Linked DNA regions of Kluyveromyces lactis. The protein of the gene in region 2 interacts with the protein of the main gene of each other region in a pairwise test. Links are inferred from orthologs where the notes say so. Each region holds a gene or a part of one and is shown on either strand. Other genes may lie near its edges.

Evidence for each region.
Region 1: the proteins of HDA2 (region 2) and KLLA0_D16456g interact in a two-hybrid assay, tested with the Saccharomyces cerevisiae proteins (2 studies listed by BioGRID). The link is inferred for Kluyveromyces lactis from reciprocal best matches to the Saccharomyces cerevisiae genes HDA2 and ACE2.

Annotation. Positions count from the first base shown.
Region 1 is NC_006040.1:1,386,260-1,392,333, forward strand, and holds KLLA0_D16456g (uncharacterized protein), read right to left. Parts: upstream 4,152-6,074; coding exon 1,587-4,151; downstream 1-1,586. Other genes in the region: USB1 (phosphoric diester hydrolase), read right to left, coding at 4,914-5,768. UniProt on the Saccharomyces cerevisiae protein: Plays a role in regulating basal-level expression of CUP1. Activates EGT2 transcription in the absence of SWI5.
Region 2 is NC_006039.1:894,689-900,709, reverse strand, and holds HDA2 (Hda2p), read right to left. Parts: upstream 3,355-6,021; coding exon 1,450-3,354; downstream 1-1,449. Other genes in the region: sphinganine-1-phosphate aldolase DPL1, read right to left, coding at 1-926; GTPase-activating protein NEL1, read right to left, coding at 3,700-5,688. UniProt on the Saccharomyces cerevisiae protein: Required for activity of HDA1 histone deacetylase complex. The HDA1 histone deacetylase complex is responsible for the deacetylation of lysine residues on the N-terminal part of the core histones (H2A, H2B, H3 and H4).

The DNA of each region.
Region 1 (6,074 bases), on a different chromosome or scaffold from region 2:
CGGATGAATTTCTCTTTGAAAAAAAGCTACATGTCACTGCAGTGCATAACTAGCGAAACTGAAGAAGAAGGAAAAAAAATTAATATTTTACTTAGTGTCTGGTACCTCTATTGTGAATTTGGGCGGTGCAAGATAGAGAGCTGCTACTGCTCGTACTATATCACCAGCTCATGCACCGTAAAGTCGTACTTTCTCAGTTGCTTGTGATGTTGTAGTTTTCTTTTTCTTCAAAATTTTTTTTTTTTTGGAGAATTAGGAAAACCTAGAAAATGCCGTGGTGGGCGAACTTACAGAGGCAATTTCGAGAATCAACTTAAAGGGTTACGGATTATCTTTTGATGTTTTGTACGTCACACAGTTGCACATCACCAAATAAGCAGATGAATAGGAAGAGAAAGAAAGATATACACCTGAGAAAATACCCACCAGGATGATGATCGTAGGAACTATGATCAACAAGGAAGAATGAGAGTGTTATTCAAGTCATTAATATGTTGTCTTTGGGAGATGAGTGGCCTTGCAATAGAGGTCATATGACCATCGGACCTTTTCTCGTGCAAATGATGGACGGAAGGTGGGACGAAAACACGTGAAGGAGTTCTTCCTTCTCTTTTACTTGGTCGTAAGTTCCCGTTGCTAGCCGTGCAACGTTTCGCAAAGGCCCAGTCCTAAAGTACGAACAAGCTGTATATAGTGAAAAAATTGGAGATTGGCACTCTACACCCATACATCACACTTCACGTATGGGCATTCGTGTGAGATCAATTTGACACAAAGGGGAAAGGGTTTTGCTACTTGCGACAGGAGGTATGGAGAAGTGTGTAACTGATTCATCATGGACCAAGATGAGGAGCCGGAATTCACACGCATTCTATGGTGTCTTCTATGTCAGGGTCCAGTAGATCTTACTCCTTTCGTAATGTGGCTAGCTATTACGTTTGCTCATGACAGGAAAACGACAGAAAGCTTTCGTTTTTCTTTTCTTTCGTTACTAAGTGCGCTTTTAGTTGCACTTAGTAAAGAATTTAAAATTGTCTATAGAGCTAGAGAGGTTACCTGCAAAATGGTGGATTCAATTTCTCTGGTTATGCCACTGTATTTGATTCCTTCGGAAATAACTTATCTTTTAGTAACCAGCGACAGATGAGCAGCGGCATACATTTCGTGCGAAACGAAAAAGAAAATTGTTTCCTCTCGAGTGATGCGGATTTGTGTAGGGAAGAAAAAGATGTAGCCAGAAAACACTGCAATGCACGAGGTGGCCTATATTTTTTTTCACTTAAATGGTTACAGGCCTGAAAAAAGTTTCAACTGCAAAGGTTACAGATCTGAGGGTGGGGGAGAAATCGGACCTGAGATGTCAGATCGGAACTTCTTCTTCTTCCCTCTGTTTCTCAGTGAGAGCGGGGTAGATAGTTGATAAATCACTAACGGTTTTTCTGTTTCCATTGAATAAAATAGTATTAAAAACGTTATAAAAGAACATATTTCAAGAGTACTTAGTGATTTTGAAAGTGTGCAATGTTGGATAAAATTAAGACAAGCCAGTTAGTATCTGCTAAAGATAAAATTCATTCTGACGAATTTTACACACCAGTTGTAGTTTGATTGTACGTCAATTGTTCTTGTACGCGAAGCGCAGCAGTAGTGTGTCCCCTTTGGATGTTTTCTCTTATGACATTCGGCACTTTCTTCGGGGAAACTGGTTTCCTGATCTGATTGCCGCCATTAAGTCTTATAGGCGAAGAATCCAAGTGATCGTAGTAGTCTAGGTCATGATTTTGTTCTTGGTTGCACAAATCTTCTTCATCCAGTCTGCCCTCATGACTTTTACGTTCTTGATGTTTCACAAGAGAATCTTCTGAATGGAACTTCTTACCACAACCTGCACACGAGTAACCTTTCTCTAAATGCGATTTCTTGTGTCGTAGCAAATCATGGTTTCTGACAAAAGCCTTTTGACATCCTGGGAAATCACACTTGTACGGCCTATCGCAAAGATGGGTTTGGATATGAGTTCTCGCGTTGTACCGTCTGTTAAACCTCTTTTGACAATCTTTAAACTTGCATTGGAACTGTTTAGGTCCAATTTCGAGAATGTACTTGTCAATCTGTTCTCTAGGCAGCATGCCATACCGTTTACCGTTCCTTCCCCCACTTACCATGGGGCTGGTGTTCAAATTGGTGTTTAGGCCAATTCCGTTATGATTGGGCCCTAGTCCCAAATCGACATGGTTATGTTGATTGTAAGGGAAATGCACCGGTGATTCAGCAATACAATCGAATCGCTCTTGAGATCGCAGAATTGGAGATGGGGTTTGAGCTTGTACGAACTCGCACTCCGGTTCGTCGTTGTTTCCGTTATTCATGTTCGTTAGACGGCCAGATTTCATATCCTCTTCGCCATCACGTGATGCAAGAATAATGTTTCTAGCATTTTGACCTTTCCTATCGTCAGGCCGTAGAGAAGTCGTGACAGTTTTGTCAAATATTAGTTTCTTTGTTGGAGTATGTTGGAAAGAGTGTTTTACTGGCATGTTCTCGCTGTTCAGCTTATTTGAAAATTGCCTATCAGGTGATTGCTTCTGTTTCAACGGAGTCGTTTCGCTAGATCCAGGAATCATTGGCATTATCTGCAATTGCGGTGGTTTCTTCAATTGGACCCTGCTGTTCAGCGTTATTCCAAGTCCCAGACTGGGTTGCTGTTGGGTTTGTTCTGATTCATGGTCATCCTCACTTTGCATTGGGATCGTAGATGCCGTCGATATCGTACTATCTCTTGCGAAATGCTTGTTCTGATGGCTGTTTTTGTTGTTAATGTTACTGTCAATACTACTTGCTGTTTCTAATCCATCATCACTTCGGGTAGTATGTTTATAATTACAATTCATTGATGGGGTCTTTGGATTATCATATATTTGATCTTGTGGCGTGATTGGTGGACGATTTGAACTTTTCTTGTTATACACCGCACAATTGGATGGACCACGACTTTGATTGTCCGTCAACTCTTGAAAATACTTGGACATCTTCAATAATTGTTCCGTGTTGTTTCCGACAGTACTCGTGCTTGATATAGAAAAGTTCATAGGAGGAGCAAGACGGTTATTACCGTTCTCAACCCCATCATAATTATGTTGACGACGTCTATGTGGAGATCCGTTGACCGATGCCCTTGAAAAGGGCGATAACAGTCCATTCCCCGCTCCCACTGCATACACTTTATTGACATCTTTATTAGGCGATTCGTCCAATTTTGTCCTTTCTCCCATTTGTCTTTGTTGGGATGAATCGTCGGAAGATGGTGGTGGAAATTGATACTTACCGTTCTTACCGTTAGAAGTAATAATTATACTTGTCTCCGGCCTTACCGGTGTGGTAGTAGGGATAGAAGAAACTTGATTTAAAGTCATTTGTTGAGCCTCCAGGGCTCTCTGTAGTTGTTCTTGTTGTAGCTTATTCATTCTTAGTTGATCTTCAAGCTTTTCATTCATCTCCTTTTGTCTTTGTAGAGCCAACTGTAACTCTTTTTGCTGTTGCATAATCGTCTCGCTCATCTTTATTTCTGCAGGCTGGGAAGCCTGCTGTGCTTGCAGTAGTTTTTGCTGTTCCTGTTGCAGGAAGGCCTGCTTCTTCTCATCTAGATTGATTGTCATGGACCCTATGCTTAATGATTTATTATGCTGGGCAAATCCAAAGATGGCAGTACCACTTGGCTTTTTCTTGTGATTTCCTGCGGCCCCACCACCTGGCATAAGTTTTCTTGGAGTGATTGATGGTATTTCTGTATTTACATTTCCAACACCGACAGAAGCATCATTATCGTTTACTACATTCCAATCTAATCCGTTTCCCGGGAACATCTCTAGATCAAGTTTTGAAAGTTCATCCTTAGGAAGTACTGGTATGTCAAGATCTCTTAATTCTTTTGTGAGAAATTCTTCAATATTTATATCCATAACAGGGTTGAAGTTCTCAAAAGCCTCATCTGGAAGAGGATAATCCTGTCCCCCATAGACAGAACCCAGATTATTGGAATTGTTTCTTGAATTCAGCAAATCCATCATGTTTTCTGATATTTCACCATTGTTTCCATCTACGACATCGTATGGATTCTTAATCAAGTTGGACCATTGCTCTGTGCTACTCATTGGTCCAGATTGAATAAACACGGTTCGAATGTATTTTTGTTGGTACTATCAAAAACTTCTTATTTTAATCCCGCTCTTTTAACTTCAAGTCAACTTGGTGTTTGCGCTCTTACCTATGTATCTTAGTATTGAATTATCTTTTCGGTTCCTTGTTGCTTCCAGTCTTTCTTACTTCTAGAGGCTCACTTCAAAAATCGATTGCACCTAACCTAAAGTTGTTCTCCTTGTTAAGTTGTAATATATCTTATGCAAATGATTAAACTGCTAATATCAACGGAGTGTTTCCAATACCTGATGCAACCAATAACAATCGATGTTACAGATGTATGGGGAAGATGGGGAAAACGTAATGAAAGCTTCAACTGGAAGAGTTTCTTGTTATATGAACCAAACAACAGTTGCTGCAAAGTTTATAAAAGAGGTACATAGTTAAAGAAAACACAATTATATGTTTAGATGTAGAAATAGACAATGCAAACATAGCTTCAAGGGCATTATGCTTTGTTCGAACGAGGTTTTTGAAGCGCTATTACCCGATTGGGTTCAAATATCAACATAGCTGTTCATATCAAAACAAAGAAAAAAAAAGGTTGATGCGATTTTTAACATGGCTTAACTAATCGTACTAATTAGGAAAATTCGCATATCTAATCAAGTCATGTGACTGATAGTGACAAGCAAGTTTACCAATTCTGAATGATTTTCTAAGTCAGGCATGTGCCTGATACAAGACTACCGCTTGAAAGTAGTATAAATTGATATTTACAACCTATCAGCGGATTTCGAGAAGGGCATCGAAATCACGTCTACTCCAATCTCCGCCTTGATTTCCTGACATCTAAATTGCAAGTCTGCTCTCAATAGAGGTAACTGTGCCAACGCTTCCGTAGCTAAAATATGTCGTAGATATTTGCTCGACTTTTCAAATTCTTCCGCATTTTTAAATTGTTTATTGTTTGGAATAACTCCGAACGAAATGTGTGCTGTCTCAGGGTCTATCACCTTTGAATGATAAGTTGGCGGGACGTTTCTTTTTATCGCATCAAGAATAGGTTGTAACTGTCGCACTGATGATTTGGATAAATTCAACGTCAAGAACGTGAGACTTGAGTCAAAATTATCGTAGAGACGCCAGTTACCTGCCAGAGAAATTGGAATCGATTTATATTTCAAAGTGGTGATTTCTTTCTTGATTTGAGCAACACTCGTTGCTGTCTCCGCTCCATCGGTGAAATACAACGAAGACGTCAAAGACACATGTAAGGGCTTAATGGTACCTAGCTTTCCACGATGTAAGGGTTCAAAGTTAGTCATATGATGCATGTTCATTACTGAGTTTACGTCGTTCAAAATCATATCAAGCACCCGGTTCTGTTTGGAATCAAGCCGCAGCTGAAGAAACATATAGCAAGTATTTCTACCCATCGGAGCTTTGTACATTCTATCGTTCAATGGGTTCAGAACTGGTGGTTTATTAAACTTGTGAATGATTTGGTCTGGTAAGTTTGGTAGCAATGAGCTTCTGTCCTCTTCTTCCTTATTCTGGATAGGTTCCCCGTCAATTTCAATATCACTGCCTTCACTATCACTCAAGTATACAGACGATACTAGGCTCATACCTACAAAGCTTGTAATTTCAAAGACGGGGCCTCTTATCTTCTAAGTAGTTACTATAATTTCACTGTGAATCACCATTGATGATGATCTCTTTTCAGTTTTTCAGGTTAATAATAAGAGTCCCATTTTCTGCAGATATATGTCTAAAATGACAAAGAATAATAACAAGTAACATGGTATTGACCGAAGGTACCCTCCACCTTCACGAACTGAGTAAGTTGCTCTCGCAAATTGTGCCAACTGGATGTTTCACACTAACAAAAATTGAAATCACGTGATATTATAAACAACTCACCTTTAAGTAAA
Region 2 (6,021 bases):
GAGCCAGCCAACATAACAGTATTTCTATTGATAAGTTTTCTCATCTGCTTAACATCAGCTTGGAATGTCACAGGATCCAAATCAACATGATGGATCTTTATGCCAAAGTAATATCCCGCTTTGTCAAAACCTGCATGTGCTGTCTTCGGGATGATTATTTCGGGTTCGGTAATTCCCTTGTAGCGCAATCCAAGCATTTTTGCGCTTACACAAGCCAATAACAACGACTCCGTACCACCACTTGTTGTAGTACCACAACCAGTCGGTGGAGCATTAAATAAGTTCAAAACCATGGACACTACCTCTGCTTCCATTTTACGCACACCAGGAAAGACATCTGGATGCAACTGGTTCGCCACACAAAACTTTTTAAACGCTTTGGATTGTAAATCAATCAAATCATCCCCACCATGATACACTGCACCAGATACTTTACCATTTTCCCAATCAGAATGCTTCAAAACAGAATTGAGTTTATCTAGTTCTTTCAATACATCAGCTTCACTTAATCCTGTTCTTGGTAGTTCAGGGAAATCCTTTAAATTCGCATCGTTTTTTATCATATCTTTCTCTATTGTGGCTAAGACTTTAGAAACCTCTTTATCGACAGAACCTCTTACCATTGGTAAGCTCAATAGAACCTCAAATAAACGTCTACTGGCATAATGGAATAATTTAGAAATTGATGTCAGAAGCCCATACCCCCTTATGTACAAAATAATCCGGGACAAAACGTTAAAAAGCAGATGGTAAAAGACGGCGTCTCTGATGATCCAATACCAAGGCGTATTCCGAAAATAATCTAAAACTGCCACCTTGATAGAAGTTGCCAGTATAATAGGATCAAGTTCGAACGTGTTGTATTTGTATGAATATCCTAAAAAAAAGCGCTTCTGCAATCCTTCAATGAAACTCATCTTTCCCATTATCAGAAAACTTGTATCAAAATCAAGTTCAGAGTTTAACAGTAGCCAAGATTAAAGTGTTATTATTTTGTGGGAGTCAGCTCAATACAACGCAATGGTAAGAAAAAAAAAAGAACTGTATACCCTTAGTTTCTGCTTTCAATTTGAGAGCAAGACATAAAATCTACTAAAAGTTCTTATTTTCTACCCTATATGCAAAATACCAGACGAATCAGTAAAGGTCTTTAAAATCCGAAAAGTACGAAAAAAAAAGCTCAAATTCTATGTTCCAGTTTCAACTGAATATGGTTATGCCGATCCGTTACTGCCGCAGTTAGGGTGGTCATGTCGAAATTAGAATGAACAAGTCACTATTGACTCACATAATACAAACTGGTCTATATAGAGGAGTAATTGCGCTAGTGTTACAATTTTGCAAGCAAGCTTGTGTTTACCAGAATCTGACAGGCTTTCAGATATCAGTATATTGCATGCAGTAGTTGAGAGATGGTTTGGTCTGGATGTATCCTAGAAGGAGTAATACTTATGTGTACGTAGGAGAAGTAGCCCTGGTAGTTCTTGTAGTGTACCTTGACGAGTTGTTCGTTGCCGGAGATGATTTTTTTGCAGGTTCGTTTTCAATGTTGTATTGGCCTTGTATTCGGTTCATGTATTGTATTAGGAATTGAGACTGCTGTACCATTTTGCGTAAGGAAGATTTGAGTTGTGCTTCTTTTTCTTGCAATATAATAAGTTCCCACTTGGTGAAAGGTCCATTCAATTGGCGTTCCAACTCCTCTTTCTCAGCTTTCAGAGCTGAAGTCTTTAGCACTTCTGAAGCAGCCTCAGACGATTTTTGTTGGTAGCTAGATCTCAAATCGTCATTCTTAAAGGACTCTTCATCGTTACTCTTCTTGAAGGAAGAAACTTCATCTGATAGCTTGGTATGTTGTTGCTTCTGATTTTCAATTTCTTTTGCAATATCTTCGAGAGTTAAGAGCCTTACAAGCTCGGATTTGCGTTCAACCAAGCTCTTTAGACGTTCTTCTAAAACTTCCAACTCAGATCTTGTTCTTTCAACGCGTTTTTCAGAGTCGTTGATTTTGGTTTCATTTTCTTTGAGTTTTTTGAAATGTTGTCCGATATTCACCTTCAAATCATCAAAGTCATTTAACCTTTTAGTTTCTTTCAATCTGGTCTTGAGGACTAGTTTTTCACGCTCTTCATATTCTACATGGCATTGTTTGAGTCGTTCTGCCGTGAGTGTTTTTAAAATATACTGATAATTTTTAATGTCCATTGGTCCTGATTGTAGCCTTAATTCATATTTTCCGTAAGTTAGAGGCATCAATTCCATTGGGTTAGTTAGAAAAGGAATCAAATCATCATTATTTCTCGAACTTCCTGGATTTACACTTGGGAGAAATTCACCAGGGTCCGTCTCTTTGATCAATGAGTCAATAATATTTTCATATTGTTGTAAAGAAATAAGATCTTTGATATCGGCACGATACTTTAGAAAATGAACAATGGAATCCAAAATTAGCTTTTCGGAAGTAGTAGTTGGCTTCTTTTTGGATAACAAATAGTGATCCGGAGAATCTTGGACCAATAGCTTAAACAGAGGAGTTTTTCTGCCATTTTTCCTGACTTTGAATATCGATGGTAACGATTCGTCCAGCATTGGATCAAAACTGATGATAAGATCCAGATTGTACCTAGAAAGTAAATCTTCAGAGTGTGTCAAATGTGTGGTTGTTGCCAAAAACAACCAGTCAAGTTGAGATATGTTATTCTTACGTCTTGACTTAGAGTAGTTGTATTCATCTTTCGATTTTCCGATTTGCTCAGGAGCTACGCTACCAGAACTTGATGAATTTTCACCATTGGTTGTTCTTGAACCAGAAGTTTGATCGTCATATTCATGTTTTTCGTCAAACAAAGAAGTTCCAGATAACCTCTTCAACTTTGCAACTTTTCCCAACATGACGCCTTCAATCAAATCCAATTCTTTCACAGAATGTGAAATGATAGCAACTTGCAATGGCCTCGATTTGTCCTTACGATTCAATAAAAGATCAACCATTAGATTTAACTTGCCAAATTTATCGCTGGTGTATATCAACCTTTCAGTTGGTTCCATTAACAAAAACTGTCTAGGCATATAATGCTCAACTAACAGGCAAGGGTGATTCGAGACAGCTCTTATATTTTCGAAGAACCATTCAGTTAACTGAACATCTGTTAATGCAGTCATACTCAAGTCTCTTTTGAGATTTGTCCCTTTTTTTTCTAATTTAGATTGTAGTTCTGGCAGTAGACGTTTATCTACACATGAGACAAACGACTCTGCATGTATCGAGATTAAAATTTCCAACAAATCTTTCTGAACTTGAGTTAGGCCAACAGGTATATAAAATACCTGAGTCCGGTTGGAAGTGGAGTTCATCTTTCTTTCCCTAATGAAACGACCCAATGGCTCGCGCTTGCAGTTTCTCTTTCTTTTCCTCTGGACTCTGGCTTTTAATGTGCTATTCGGAAAGAATGGTTAGATTTAATTATATAGTATCTTTTAAAAAATGAAATATGTCATTTTTGAAAAGCGACAGATGGAGAAACCAAGGAATACGTACATAGTATCTTTTCCTGCCATACAATTGTTATTCAAAGGGGGAGCGATAGATTCGAAGGTTGCGACAGTAAATGGGGAACTATTCTAACCTTTTGGTTTTGGTTATATATATATAGAGTTCATGATATCTGTTGAGAGGTAAAATGAATGATTACATACTTTTCATGCAGTACTTTTTGATTTAAACAGTGCCATGTATTTATCAAGCGTGAGGTCATCAGAATGCAAAGAATGTTCTGCAGTTAAGCCTAGTCGTGCAATTACAAATCTATCCTGACTAGCACCTGGCTTGGTTTCTCGATACCAAGGCTTTGGAAATCGACTTCCATCGTGGTATATGGTATCAGCAGCTGCCTTCAAACTGTCAACTCTGCTATCTCCTACTGAAGTATCTCGTACCACAAGGACGTTACCACCATCTACCAATAAAGGTTCGGCATAATTAAGGATGTCAGTTGTATTTTGAATAAGCCCTGTGGTCGAATACACTTGGGGTCTAACCATCTTGAATATATGACTTAAAGGGGAATTCAGAATTGTCCAATGGTAGACGATCCACTCGTCAGGCGATGTATTTCTCTTCCTTAAGAGAGTTGATCTTTGCATAAAGTACGTTACTTCTTGTAAGGATTTAATGCCAGGAACATCGATGGCATTCAATGATTTAAGAAGTTTTACTATTTCTAACGTCCACCACCTTAGATCGTAATCATAAAACTTGCCTTGAAACAAGACAGCGAAAGATATTTTTTTCATTATGGATCCAGCCATTATATCCCAGTGGAAATTTTGGGTTAAAAGATGTTCACCTGGTAAGGTTGTACTGGGAATAAATTTCGTTTCTACAGAAACGTATTCTTGATTCAAGTGTTTATAGTAGCATTCCATTTGAAAGGAAAATTTATCTGGCATTTCTTGCAAGGCTTCAGCAGCGCTGCGAGATGTATCAACAGATAAACTTATCAAAATTGATGGTAGATTACTACTTGGCCCTTTGTAACGGAAGGTTCCAGACCCTCCAAAGCCCTTTGGAGTGTCAGATACATGTGTGTCCTTGTCTTTCAAGGATGAGACTGGACCAAAGATCCCATTCAGTAATAGCTTGTTAGAAGTTTTGATAACAATTCTGGTTATTTCATAACATCCTTTCCCTTGAATATACGCCTGCCAATCATATATGAAATTTCTATCATTGAAGGATTCGTATTGAATAAAGTTGTTCAAACAGGATCTCATCTCCCATATTCCGACCTGATCCATGGATGCGACGAATACCGTGCATGGAGCAAACTTTAAGGACTTACTCATTTTATTGTAAAATTCTCTAGAAGGTTTCCAATATTTCACATCCTTGTCTTCCTCTATATTTCTATGCTGCCTGATATGATTTTTTCGGTCCATTGAGATAACCTTACCTGGTGCTACTGTACAGGGTCCGAAAACAAATGCAATGGATTGTGATGGGTTTAGACATTGTGCTAGAAAAATAGCGAGTGCAGTGTTTCTTCTACATCTTTTTTTTGACCTAGTCCGTTGACATAGAAGTTCCGCGAGTTTAGCACCGAAAGATATTTGGTCCGTCCAAATCTTCCTCACTAAAAGCCCATACTTTGCAATGAACCATTCTGTGTCAAGCTTCTTAAGATGGCTGATACAACTACTAGATTCTGCATCTACGGTAATGTGTGACCCGTCAGTATGAATAGTGACAGACCCATCTTCAATCGTGATCAGGGCCAATGACTGGACAGAACCAAATTGTAACATCTTCAACGCGTCTAGATTTTCCTCAAATTCACAATTAAGATCGATGATTATGGCGAACTTGGAATGCGTAGGCACAGCAGCAGTTCCTAAATGTTTTAGGTATGACGATGATAATGGAATATTCCCTAGTTCATTATAAGCATTACAAAAAGAACAAAACCACCCAGCTCGTGAATCTCTTGAACATAAAAAATTCGCAAACCCTCCACAGATTTTACAATTGGTATAATTCTCACTGCTTGCTAGGCTTGAATTCCCGTCAATTGTCAAGTCCGGCTCACAAATGGCACTTATCGATCCACGGTTATCATCTCCACAATCGAGAACTCTAGCTAAGCAATCTGTCCGGGACGTAGGAACGGCTCCATAATTCAATTCAAACATCAAGTTCTAGATGGTGGAATATGCGGACACTTGACGGATGAAGGTGATAACTCTACTGTGCGTGTCTGCTGATAGGAAAACCTTTCTCTGGAGATGAGATCCAAGATAAGATAGAGCAGGTAGCGGAGAATTCAATATCATCACAAGATCCGGGTAATGTATATATTAGGTTCATTCTCTTTAATTTTCAGTGTTTCTACGAAGTTGTTTATGGCATCTGAAAAAGCTGAAAAATTTTGAAAAAGAGAAAGCTGATAGTTAGTTTAGCTTGATTACAGAAGAGATCACCACATTTGTGCACACATTGTATTTAAATAACTCTTCAGAAGTCCA